Linked DNA regions of Xenopus tropicalis. The protein of the gene in region 3 purifies or fractionates together with the protein of the main gene of each other region. This does not show direct contact. Links are inferred from orthologs where the notes say so. Each region holds a gene or a part of one and is shown on either strand. Other genes may lie near its edges. The genes, in order: cyb5r3, atl3 and rtn4.

Region 1 (4,332 bases), on a different chromosome or scaffold from region 3:
CCCTCACTCACCGGCCCTGCATCCCCAGGTAGGGTCCCCTCACTCACCGGCCCTGCATCCCCAGGTAGGGCCCCTCACTCACCGGCCCTGCATCCCCAGGTAGGGGCCCCTCACTCACCGGCCCTGCATCCCCAGGTAGGGGCCCCTCACTCACCGGCCCTGCATCCCCAGGTAGGGGCCCCTCACTCACCGGCCCTGCATCCCCAGGTAGGGGCCCCACACTCACCGGCCCTGCATCCCCAGGTAGGGGCCCCTCATTCACCGGCCCTGCATCCCCAGGTAGGGGCCCCTCACTCACCGGCCCTGCATCCCCAGGTAGGGGCCCCTCACTCACCGGCCCTGCATCCCCAGGTAGGGGCCCCTCACTCACCGGCCCTGCATCCCCAGGTAGGGTCCCCTCACTCACCGGCCCTGCATCCCCAGGTAGGGTCCCCTCACTCACCGGCCCTGCATCCCCAGGTAGGGGCCCCTCACTCACCGGCCCTGCATCCCCAGGTAGGGTCCCCTCACTCACCGGCCCTGCATCCCCAGGTAGGGGCCCCTCACTCACCGGCCCTGCATCCCCAGGTAGGGTCCCCTCACTCACCGGCCCTGCATCCCCAGGTAGGGGCCCCTCACTCACCGGCCCTGCATCCCCAGGTAGGGGCCCCACACTCACCGGCCCTGCATCCCCAGGTAGGGGCCCCTCACTCACCGGCCCTGCATCCCCAGGTAGGGGCCCCTCACTCACCGGCCCTGCATCCCCAGGTAGGGGCCCCTCACTCACCGGCCCTGCATCCCCAGGTAGGGGCCCCACATCACGTACAGCCCCTGCCCCAGTTAGAGCCCCGAACACACAGCCGGTGACAGTCCCACCTGTTACTCTCCATGGTTCCTGCCCGTCACTCTCCGGCCGGCTCCCCACTCACTCGCTCTAATAGCGCTAGACCGCTAAGTATCCCACGTCACCCCGGAGCAGCCAATAGGAACCCGCGACAAGGGAGGAGCCCTGCCCCACCCCTGCCTCTTCGCTTGGGCTACTGTAAAGACTTGGGGGCGTGTCTGTTTTGGGTGAGCTATTGACGGACAGCTTGGTTTTCTGGTTTAAATTGTGGGTTGGGATAATACTGAGTGGGCGGGCTTTTGTAACTTTTAACCAATAAGAAAGCGGCAAGTGGGAGGGACTTACAAAACATGTTTAGACAGTAAGTTTAGCTGTTAATGTTGACTTTCTGCTGGAGAATTGGGAAGGTCGGCAGGATATGTAATGATTGGCTGCACAAAGTTTTGGGAGGGTGCGTCTGTCAGATAAACCTGCAAAGCGATTGGCCGACATAGAGAGGTGGGCGGACCGGGCGGGATACTGCGTTTCAAGGAAGGGCGCCTTGTATTTGGCAGGCCTGTGGGCGGGCGCATAGATAAGGCTGTTTGCATATTGGTCAAGGGGCGGGCACATAGGGAGGAGGATGACGCGATTGGTTGGCTTGTGGTTCTTTTAGAAAAGCGGGAGGAGCCAGTCATAAGGGGGTGGTACAGTGTTGACGGCGGAGTGGGCGTGGCTCTGCTGCAGTGAGTCTGAGACGTTCTGTGAGTTCGTGTCCGCCTGACTGACCTGTAAAATGGGGGCCCAAATTAGCACGGTAAGTGCCCCCCCAGGAACCTACCGACCCGCCCTCCTACTGCTCTAACTGCCCCCCCCCCTTCCGTGGCACTTGGGCCTGACCCAGCTGTACCCTTAGTATGGGGCTTTGTATAGCGTCCCTATACCCATCAGCCCCCTGTCACTGGCTGGTACTGGAACGTACCATTGGCAGAACCATGGGGGGGGGGGGGCCGGAACTGGCAATCTGTGGGCTCCAGGGGGGTCACTGTGAGGTGCAGTAGCCTGGTACTGTGTATTGGGCCGGAACCGGAACCGCCTGGGCCTGTATAGTATCCCTGTACTGGTATCAGTCAGGGGCCCCGCCCCCCTATACTCCTGCACCCCTATACTCCTGCACCCCCAAACCATATATTGTACATCAGTCAGGGGCCCCCCTATACTCCTGCACCCCCAAACCTTGGGGATAATGATCTGTATCTCACACATATATTGTACATCAGTCAGGGACCCCACTGGCCCCCCTATACTCCTGCACCCCCAAACCTTGGGGATAATGATCTGTATCTCACACATATATTGTACATCAGTCAGGGACCCCACTGGCCCCCTATACTCCTGCACCCCCAAACCTTGGGGATAATGATCTGTATCTCACACATATATTGTACATCAGTCAGGAACCCCACTGGCCCCCCTATACTCCTGCACCCCCAAACCCTGGGGATAATGATCTGTATCTCACACATATATTGTACATCAGTTCAGGGACCCCACTGGCCCCCCTATACTCCTGCACCCCAAACCTTGGGGATAATGATCTGTATCTCACACATATATTGTACATCAGTCAGGGACCCCACTGGCCCCCCTATACTCCTGCACCCCCAAACCTTGGGGATAATGATCTGTAATCTCACACATTATATTGTACATCAGTCAGGGGCCCCACTGGCCCCCCTATACTCCTGCACCCCCAAACCTTGGGGATAATGATCTGTATCTCACGACATATATTGTACATCAGTCAGGGACCCCACTGGCCCCCCTATACTCCTGCACCCCCAAACCTTGGGGATAATGATCTGTATCTCACACATATATTTATTGTACATCAGTCAGGGACCCCCCTGGCCCCCCTATACTCCTGCACCCCCAAACCTTGGGTGATAATGATCTGTATCTCACACATATATTGTACATCAGTCAGGGACCCCACTGGCCCCCCTATACTCCTGCACCCCCAAACCTTGGGATAATGATCTGTATCTCACACATATATTGTACATTCAGTCAGGGGCCCCACTGGCCCCCTATACTCCTGCACCCCCAAACCTTGGGGATAATGATCTGTAATCTCACACATATATTGTACATCAGTCAGGGGCCCCCCGCCCCCCTATACTCCTGCACCCCCAAACCTTGGGGATAATGATCTGTATCTCACACATATATTGATATTGTACATCAGTCAGGGACCCCACTGGCCCCCCTATACTCCTGCACCCCCAAACCTTGGGGATAATGATCTGTATCTCACACATATATTGTACATCAGTCAGGGACCCCACTGGCCCCCCTATACTCCTGCACCCCCAAACCTTGGGGATAATGATCTGTATCTCACACATATATTGTACATCAGTCAGGGACCCCACTGGCCCCCCTATACTCCTGCACCCCAAACCTTGGGGATAATGATCTGTATCTCACACATATATTGTACATCAGTCAGGGACCCCACTGGCCCCCCTATACCCTGCACCCCCAAACCTTGGGATAATGATCTGTATCTCACACATATATTGTACATCAGTCAGGGACCCCCTGGCCCCCCTATACTCCTGCACCCCCAAACCTTGGGATAATGATCTGTATCTCACACATATATTGTACATCAGTCAGGGACCCCACTGGCCCCCCTATACTCCTGCACCCCCAAACCTTGGGGATAATGATCTGTATCTCACACATATATTGTACATCAGTCAGGGGCCCCACTGGCCCCCCTATACTCCTGCACCCCCAAACCTTGGGGATAATGATCTGTATCTCACACATATATTGTACATCAGTCAGGGGCCCCACTGGCCCCCCTATACTCCTGCACCCCCAAACCTTGGGGATAATGATCTGTATCTCACACATATATTGTACATCAGTCAGGGACCCCCGCCCCCCTATACTCCTGCACCCCCAAACCATATATTGTACATCAGTCAGGGACCCCGCCCCCCTATACTCCTGCTCCCCCAAACCTTGGGGATAATGATCTGTATCTCACACATATATTGTACATCAGTCAGGGACCCACTGGCCCCCCTATACTCCTGCACCCCCAAACCTTGGGGATAATGATCTGTATCTCACACATATATTGTACATCAGTCAGGGGCCCCCGCCCCCCTATACTCCTGCACCCCCAAACCTTGGGATAATGATCTGTATCTCACACATATATTGTACATCAGTCAGGGGCCCCACTGGCCCCCTATACTCCTGCACCCCCAAACCTTGGGGATAATGATCTGTATCTCACACATATATTGTACATCAGTCAGGGACCCCCGCCCCCCTATACTCCTGCACCCCCAAACCATATATTGTACATCAGTCAGGGACCCCGCCCCCCTATACTCCTGCTCCCCCAAACCTTGGGGATAATGATCTGTATCTCACACATATATTGTACATCAGTCAGGGACCCCACTGGCCCCCCTATACTCCTGCACCCCCAAACCTTGGGGATAATG
Region 2 (4,214 bases), on a different chromosome or scaffold from region 3:
AGGCTTTATTTGGTAGTAAATCTTGTTTTTATTCAACCAAAACTTGCCACCAAGTGAGGAATTCAAAAATAACTACCTGGTTTGGGGGCACTGGGGCCAACGTTCAAGGGGTTGGTGAGCAACTTGTTGCTCTTGAACCACTGGTTGGGGATCACTGGTTTAGAGACACATAGTCATAATAGAAATTAGTGATCTAAATCATCTGAAAGTAACTAGTGCAGATTCCTGAGCCAATTCAGTACCCTAGGATGTTACCTGGCTGTAGACATATCTCAGCATGAAGTCCAACAAGAATGATTTCCCTTTGCGGAAAGCACCTGCTACTGACACAACGACAACATCCAGATCACGAATATGATCCTGAAGTAGTACAGATGCCAGAGCTTCTTCATCCAGCTGGAAGGAATGGTCATCCTTTTGTACTAACACTACCTGGACCGGACCAGGTGCAGAAGAAGCCATGTCTGCATGCAGAAAACAGAAAGAGCCAAAAAGAAAGGAAGAAATGCTGTGTATGTATTTTATATTCAAACAACTCAGTAAGAACAAAATAATGCTATTGTGTACACAGGAATATACAGAGAAACATCATTACATTTTTCAAATGTAGTACTCTGTCTTAAAGAAGAACTAACCTACAAGCCCTGCTCTAACATACCAGTGCTGACAATGCAGTGTTTCCCAGCAATCCAACAATCCTCTACTTTTTGCCCACAATCACCAACCAGGAACATGTACATATTCTAATGTTGCCACAAAGCAGAGGACCAGAAGTCAAGCAGCCCACCATGCAGCACTGCATTTTCAGCATATCTGTATGATGGAGCAGGGCAACTCTGTGCTGGGGGTTGCAGGTTGTCTTTACTGAGGAGAAGGGGAGGCAGTGCACGGGAACCCAGGTTAAAGTTTGCATTTAGTTCTCATTTAAATATTAAAAATATAAATTTAAGACATATTAAATATATAGATTTTAAATAAATTTTTAGTCTGTTTCCTTTCTCACACCCGTTTCTCACATGCCAATCGTTTGCCATCCACCTTGTTTTCCACAAGCACCTTCAGGCACAGCATCCACCTGTCAATGCTCACATGGGGTGGGTTTTGCCCTGAAAATGCCCAACTTCGCTTTTCAGGCCAAAATCTGCCCCATATGCACATTGACAGATGCCTTGCTGTCAGTTGGTGCTGAAACACCAGATGTTCTCATGTCACTTGTGGCAGGTGTCATGTGTGTGTGACAGCAGCCTTTATCTTGGGTACCCTGATGCTGCTTTACTAAAACTGTCAGTGTTCTTTTTTTTTATAGTTTATCCTTTTATTTTTAATATAACATACATGAAACAAAACATCAAGAAAAGAGTAAAGAAAAAAATAAAATCGGAAAAAAAGGAAAAAAATTATATACCGTTGGATACAGTATTGCGGTAACATATTAAACATGTTTCAGTTTTGTTATGACAGATATACTAATAAATTAACATAGGTTTGGTTGGTATGACATAGATTACAGTTGTATGGCGCTAATCCATTCACTTATATTGTAGTAGGGTTGGAGGTAGTGTAGAGGTTTTTTAGGTGATTATTGCTTGGGGAGTTTGCTAGGGAATTAAAGTCATCCGCATGTGTAAGTTAGGGTATTGTATTTTATGCCAGAGTACCTTGTCCACCTAGGCCCGCCTCCCACCATGGGCTCCAAATTTTCTCAAACTTCTTTTTGGAACCTCTGGCTAACAGAGTAAGTTTAATGAGGGGCAGAACTTGATTTACCAGGGTGATCCAGTTTTGAACCGTAGGAGGTTCAGGTCCCATCCAAGCCATTGCAATGATTTTCCTGGCATAATATAGAAGTGTCCTATATCTGGTTCTAGCATAGTTGGTAGTTATTAATTCATCTAGGATTCCCAGTATGCATATTTGGGGTGTCAGAATTTTGGGGAATTCTAGTTTATCTGCTAGGACACACATAACCTCAGACCAAAATTTGGCTATTTGTGGGCACGACCAGGCCATGTGTAGGAAGTTCGCCTCTTCCATTCACTGTCAGTGTTCTTTAACATATAGTCAAAGGTAAAAGAAAGCTGAAAGTTGTAGTTGTAGTAATTAGAAAAGAGTATTTTAATGACTAGTGATAGCAAAAAGTAATTGCGTAGTACAGAGTACTTTTTTTTTTTAGCAAAAGAAAGCCAAAAATTCATTTTCTTTGCAAAGAAAGAAAAAATCTAAACACCTTTGTAATATACATGCATAAAAATGTTTCTGTTGTTTACAATTTTATTTTAAATGTGTTTTCACCTAAAAGTGGTATCTATATTCCTTTCTCTTTCTGCACTGCTAAAACAACACAGAAAATCAGTTCACTTCCAGCTCTGTTCCTTACTGGCTTCTGGCACATTGTGCGAGGAGTCGGAGCCAGCAAGGTGGAGAATGTAAACAGTCAGCAAAGTACCGCTTTCAATAGCAATAACTCTTATAAATAACTTATTATAGATCCTTTACAATCTGCATGTAATGAAGAAAAAAGGCAGACACTCTTGGGATTCAACATACTTTGTTGCAACCCACTAGAGTTTATATGTAAACACACAAAAAGTTATCTACAGTTATGCTGGGCACTCAAACAAACAATCTTTATGGACACCGACTTATTAGTAAGAAGTTACCTCTGTAATGGCTTTTATGCTCATGAATTGCTGTCACCAGCAAGCAAAAAGAAAGTTAAAATATTGCAAAGTATGAGCATGGCTTTTTCATTATACAGTGACAGAGAGTCAGAACAGACGACATATTATGTAATTCTCATAACCTATTAATGTCAGCATACAGTTCCCCAGAAATAAATGGTTGAAATTGCATTTTACCTCTTATAAATGTAATTGTATCAAAGCTGCAGAGAGACCCTCACTGTTCCGTGCCTGGCCTGAAATCAGGGCTGGGCGTGTCTTCACGTTCAGTCTTCCACAGGAAGTAGTCATAATTGTGAGTGACTGGTACAAATTCTGCAATAGCAGCCCAAGTCCCGCCCCTTGTCTTTGTGCTACTAGCCCAGTCAAAGTGGGTCACTGTAAATGAGGGTAGTGCAGCTGCAGTTTTGCTCCAAACTCAAGTGTTCTATTGTCTCACACTATCATTTGTTAGAGCTTCTCATTCTCAGCAATGTCTTTGGCTTTAGGCACATAGTACTGACAATCAGCTTTTCTCCAACAGTATATTCTCACAGGCAAGAAAAGCTGATACATTCCCATCCAATCCTTTTTCTTGGTGCACTGACAGTTCTAGTGTCAGTCTGTGAACGCACAGACATTTCGCTGCAGAAACACAATAGAATGCATTCACAAGGGTGAATGACAGTAAGCACAGCACTGAACACAGATGATACATAAACTGCGTTCCGTCTGCGATTGGCAACCCATGTGTGAGAGCCCTTATTTGCAGGTATTCTACTACAGTCTCCCATGGCAGTGTTCAATACAGCAGTGACTCAAGGAACACACTTTCTTGTCATTATTTAATTTGACATATCAGGAAGTGGCATTGTGGCTGCCACAGAAAAACAACTACCTTCAGTCTTGGAGAGAGACAGCTCTAGTTCTGTGACAGCTGGAGGGCCACCTGCTCACATGGGGTAACAAGTTTCCAATAGCAAACAAACACAGGTGACATAGACACGGGTATTAAAGCTGCCTCCTCACACCTGACTGGTGTCAGCGCTCATGTGCCAATCATATCTAAGTGGGGTATCCCTTTAGCTCAACTTTACTGGTTAGTGTCTTTATATAGGTACCAGAGGATGTGCGCAGGTCAGAATAAGAACAAAATTATATGGCCATCAGCTGTGTATCAGAGCCAAATTTGAAGTATGTACACCCCTAGGCTGTAGCAAAGCTCATCACTAACAATAGAATTGCGGTAGTGGGGACTGGAAGGGCGGAGAGTCAAATAGCTGTTTAGATCTTCTGTCTGCCCAATCCCAAATGTAGATGAGGCACGGTGGCATGCTGTCCTCACAGTCCTCCTGATGCCCTAGGCCCAGGCCTTTGTGGCCTTTCCACAAATATGTGCCTGGTGTCTATAAAGAATATATGGCCCTGGGTGGTGGCAACCTTGTATGAATTGCTCAAGTATACAAGAAGAAAGCATTTATTCAATCTGCTATCCTTTCACCCCAAAATTGTGCACTTCCCGTCTGACTACAGCACTGACCATCAGATTACAAC
Region 3 (3,652 bases):
TTGACTAAACTCTTCGTGGCTCCCATGTTGCTGATATTCAGTCATTTTCATTATCTTTGCTGTTTTGATCAAAATTGCCTGGAGGGGTGCAGACTTGCTGTAGTAGGTGCCTCATTGCGCTGAATACAGGCATGAAAGGGGACTTACAGCTAGAGATCTGAACTTATTGTACAGTGCTGCAGAATATGTTGGCGCTTTAATAGATACATGTTAATAATAACAGACAGAGTTATTTAAGAGACTTTCAGTGGGTACATTTGTTTTATGAACTTGAGAAATGACTTATCCTCTAAAGATTACTGTATGTTTATTACTACCGTATGTAATAAAGCAGCTGTCATTCTCTGAACTGCGGGCACTAGCAGAGCAGAGACTTATGGTGACAATGACAAAAGTGTGTTATTTGCTAGAAATGAGGAGACAAGCAGGAAAATTCTGGAATCCATTTTCTTGTTTGTAATTGGGCTAATGTTACTTTGGCTATGTACAGCAGTGCAATGAAATGAAAGTTCAGATATGGGACCTGTTATCCAGAATGCTCAGGACCTGGGGTTTCCCAGTTAAGGGGTCTTTCTGTAATCTGTATATCCATACTTAAATACCTCAAAATTACATAAACAACAAGATTGTGTTTCCTCCAATAAGGATTAATTATACCTTAGTTGGGATCAAGGTTTTATTATTACAGAGAAAAGGGATATCTTTTTTTAAAAAGTTAGAATTATTTGCTAATATTGAAATCTATGGGAGATGGCCTTTTTGTAATTCTGAGCTTTCTGGATAACAGGTTTTAGTATAACAGATCCCATACCTGTTTAGAGCATTTTGCATACTTTTGAGTACTTGGCAGTGTATTATGGGTTTATCCTGTAGTCTATTAAGGCTCAAAGTTCATCTTTGCTCTATTATATCTTCCCGTAAAGACGTTTGTTTAAAGCTCTGCCAGACTGCTGCAACATGGAAACCATTGGCTTTATAGGCACCACATGTCTGAAACAGCTCAAACAGGATCAAAATGCATCATCGGCAGCAGCTGCTCCTGTAGTTCTGTCGCTGGTCCTGCTGGTTACTGTGCATTCCGCCCATACTGCTGTACTGATGAATATGCCTTCTGCATCACCCACTATCCTCCTGCCCTAATGCCTAAATTTAGTTGTTGCCGCTCTTACTTGGTAGAGAATCTCATTGCTGTTGCACGTGAATCGACTTGGCTGAGTTCCTGGCAGATGATGTCTATATGATCTACAGCTATAGCCATGGAAACTGGCCCTGCAGTTAGTGGCTTCTTTGCTGTGACAGAACATTCATTTTTAGATGACACAAAATATTCTTGGGTTCCATGTGGGCGTCCAGTTATTTTGCTTAAGATTTAAAACTCCTTTTAACATCATTAGGGAAATGTATTACTGTGCTATGTTCTCTGTATTATGGGGAACAGAATCCATTAGTTCAGTAGATGCCCTTTTGCTGTAAATTTAATTGGTAAGTTTAAAACCTTACATTTAATTTAAATTTCCCTAAAGGGGAACTCTAGCTTTAGAATCAAAATTTGTTAAAGAGCCTCACTCAACACAGAAACCCCTAATGTACCTATCACTGTAATCTGTTCCTTAAAAATAAAAGTATGAATAAATACCATTTGTATATGGAAATCATACTATGAACAACTTTTCTCTTTCTACATGATTTGAAATCCTGGCAGGGGAGGAGGGACTAAAACATCAATGTTACAAATTATAACATAATCTCCACATTTTACAGACAGCATGCAGAAAGGAACTACATAACCCACAGTGCATTGCACTGTGATGTTCCTTTCCTTATTGACATCATGTGTTCAGGGAATTGGCTCAAAGCAGTCAGCCAGATCAACAGGGGGCGGGGCTTAGGAAACTGTTCCAAACCATAGTATTACATTAAACATGTAAAGCCTGGATATTTTTATTTGATGTATATTACAAAATTGCTTGAAATTATGTTTATTTTTCAAAAAACGTAAGTTGTGTTTGGGTGGCGTTCCCCTTTAATGTGGTCCTTTGAATAGTTTTGGAGTGAAAGCTAAATTCACTGGGGGTGCCAATTTGTTAGGCACCCCCTCTCCATAATCGAAATGTTATCCTTCTGCCCCAGCATTAATGGTGCGCCCCTTTGGTGCATTCTGGCTTGGTCCTATTACTGAGCAGCGTGATTGGCACTTGCATGGCATGCTAGTATGTTGTGGCTGCATGGAGCATGTTCTGGGCTGCCAAAAGGAAGGGCTAAGCCAGCAGTCTCTGTCTGAGATATATATATATATGTTATACTTATGCTCTCGTATATCTCTCTTAATGCTCTGTCTCTTAATGAAATCTCAGGGAATGTAAGATTGCTAGTTTTCCTTTTGCTTCTGATCTAATCAGCGACATTTCTCTAAGGCCTCTGTGTATTTGTTTTTCAGATGAGAACCTTTTCCCTCTTCCTGCTGCATCTGCGCCTCTGATGCACCCCTCTGCAGGCAAGTTCTTTCTGCTCTCCTGCTCTGTCTCTGCATTAACCCTCTGTCTGTCTCTCTCACTTGCTCCTTCACTCATTAGTGGTTAGAGTGTCACTGTGGCCGTGTCTGTCTGTCTGTCTCTCTCACTTGCTCCTTTACTTATTATTGGTTAGAGTGTCACTGTGTCTGTCTGCCCTGTGCACAACACTTACCCTCAGGAAACGGAGCACCGAGTTTTGGGATCATTTGAAGCATCCATGTTCTTACTATGTCATGAGTATTGTTTGTAGGGGTTGTTCAACTTTGAGTTAACTTTTAGTATGTTTTAGAGAGAAATTCCAAGCTTCCAATTGCAGATTGTCTCAGAATAGCATTCTCTACTTCATACTAAGATAATTTAACAGTGAACAACCCCTTTATCAGGCACCACATGGACCTTTATGCAGACGCACACAATGAATCTTGGGGTGAAAATGTGCATTTTTTCACTACAAAATACACTGAATGCCTGCACACAGGAGCGAGTGGCTCGGTTGTTTCTCCGCCTGCATTTCTATTTAACAACAGCTACACAGCCTAATAAATCTATTGCTTTATCTGTGCAGTAAATGCTTATGTCTTCTGTCTGCTACTGATAACTTTCCTTTCTGTTCGTGGTCACAGACAAAGTAACGGACTTGCAAGAGCCTTCTAGCACTGTATCCACTGGCCAAGAGGAACTTGCATCTGTGCTGCTTCAGTCTACTGCTTCCCTTTCTTCTTTGCCTTCTCTGTCTACTGATTCCTCTAAAGAGCATGTGGACACTGTCGCTTTGCCTGCTGGCTTAGCTGCCACTGAAGCTTTGCAAGAACACATCGATAACATATTTAACGTATCAAGGACCACTGATAATTTACTATTAACAGACCACTTAGAAACTAAAGCTTTAGACCAAGTTAAGGAAGATGTGATATTTTCTGAGAAGGGTTATGTAGTTGAGCATCCAACATCTCGACAGGAGACCATCTCTGAAGAGCACGCTAAATTGTACTCCCAGTCTGCTAAAGAGATGTTTTCAGGTATGCTTCAGTCTGTTGGGCCTCCTCATGAAGAGTTTACGGATATCAAGGAAGTCGAGGATCAGTATGTTGACTTTAAACCGTTCATGAGTTCAAAGTCAGCTGATATTAGCTATGAAG

What was found.
Region 1: the proteins of rtn4 (region 3) and cyb5r3 purify together in Homo sapiens (affinity purification with mass spectrometry; 3 studies listed by BioGRID and IntAct, counting the BioPlex papers as one, with this or other methods). This does not show direct contact. The link is inferred for Xenopus tropicalis from reciprocal best matches to the Homo sapiens genes RTN4 and CYB5R3.
Region 2: the proteins of rtn4 (region 3) and atl3 purify together in Homo sapiens (affinity purification with mass spectrometry; 4 studies listed by BioGRID and IntAct, counting the BioPlex papers as one, with this or other methods). This does not show direct contact. The link is inferred for Xenopus tropicalis from reciprocal best matches to the Homo sapiens genes RTN4 and ATL3.

The regions. Positions count from the first base shown.
Region 1 is NC_030679.2:2,598,279-2,602,610, forward strand, and holds the start of cyb5r3 (cytochrome b5 reductase 3), read left to right. Parts: upstream 1-1,524; 5' UTR 1,525-1,598; coding exon 1,599-1,619; intron 1,620-4,332. Other genes in the region: endoul (poly(U)-specific endoribonuclease), read right to left, coding at 856-869. UniProt on the Homo sapiens protein: Catalyzes the reduction of two molecules of cytochrome b5 using NADH as the electron donor.
Region 2 is NC_030680.2:36,371,893-36,376,106, reverse strand, and holds the start of atl3 (atlastin-3), read right to left. Parts: upstream 2,871-4,214; 5' UTR 2,859-2,870; intron 465-2,858; coding exon of another isoform or gene 463-464; coding exon 256-462; intron 1-255. UniProt on the Homo sapiens protein: Atlastin-3 (ATL3) is a membrane-anchored GTPase that mediates the GTP-dependent fusion of endoplasmic reticulum (ER) membranes, maintaining the continuous ER network. It facilitates the formation of three-way junctions where ER tubules intersect.
Region 3 is NC_030681.2:24,264,258-24,267,909, reverse strand, and holds part of rtn4 (reticulon-4), read left to right. Parts: intron 1-2,437; coding exon 2,438-2,494; intron 2,495-3,136; coding exon 3,137-3,652. UniProt on the Homo sapiens protein: Required to induce the formation and stabilization of endoplasmic reticulum (ER) tubules. They regulate membrane morphogenesis in the ER by promoting tubular ER production.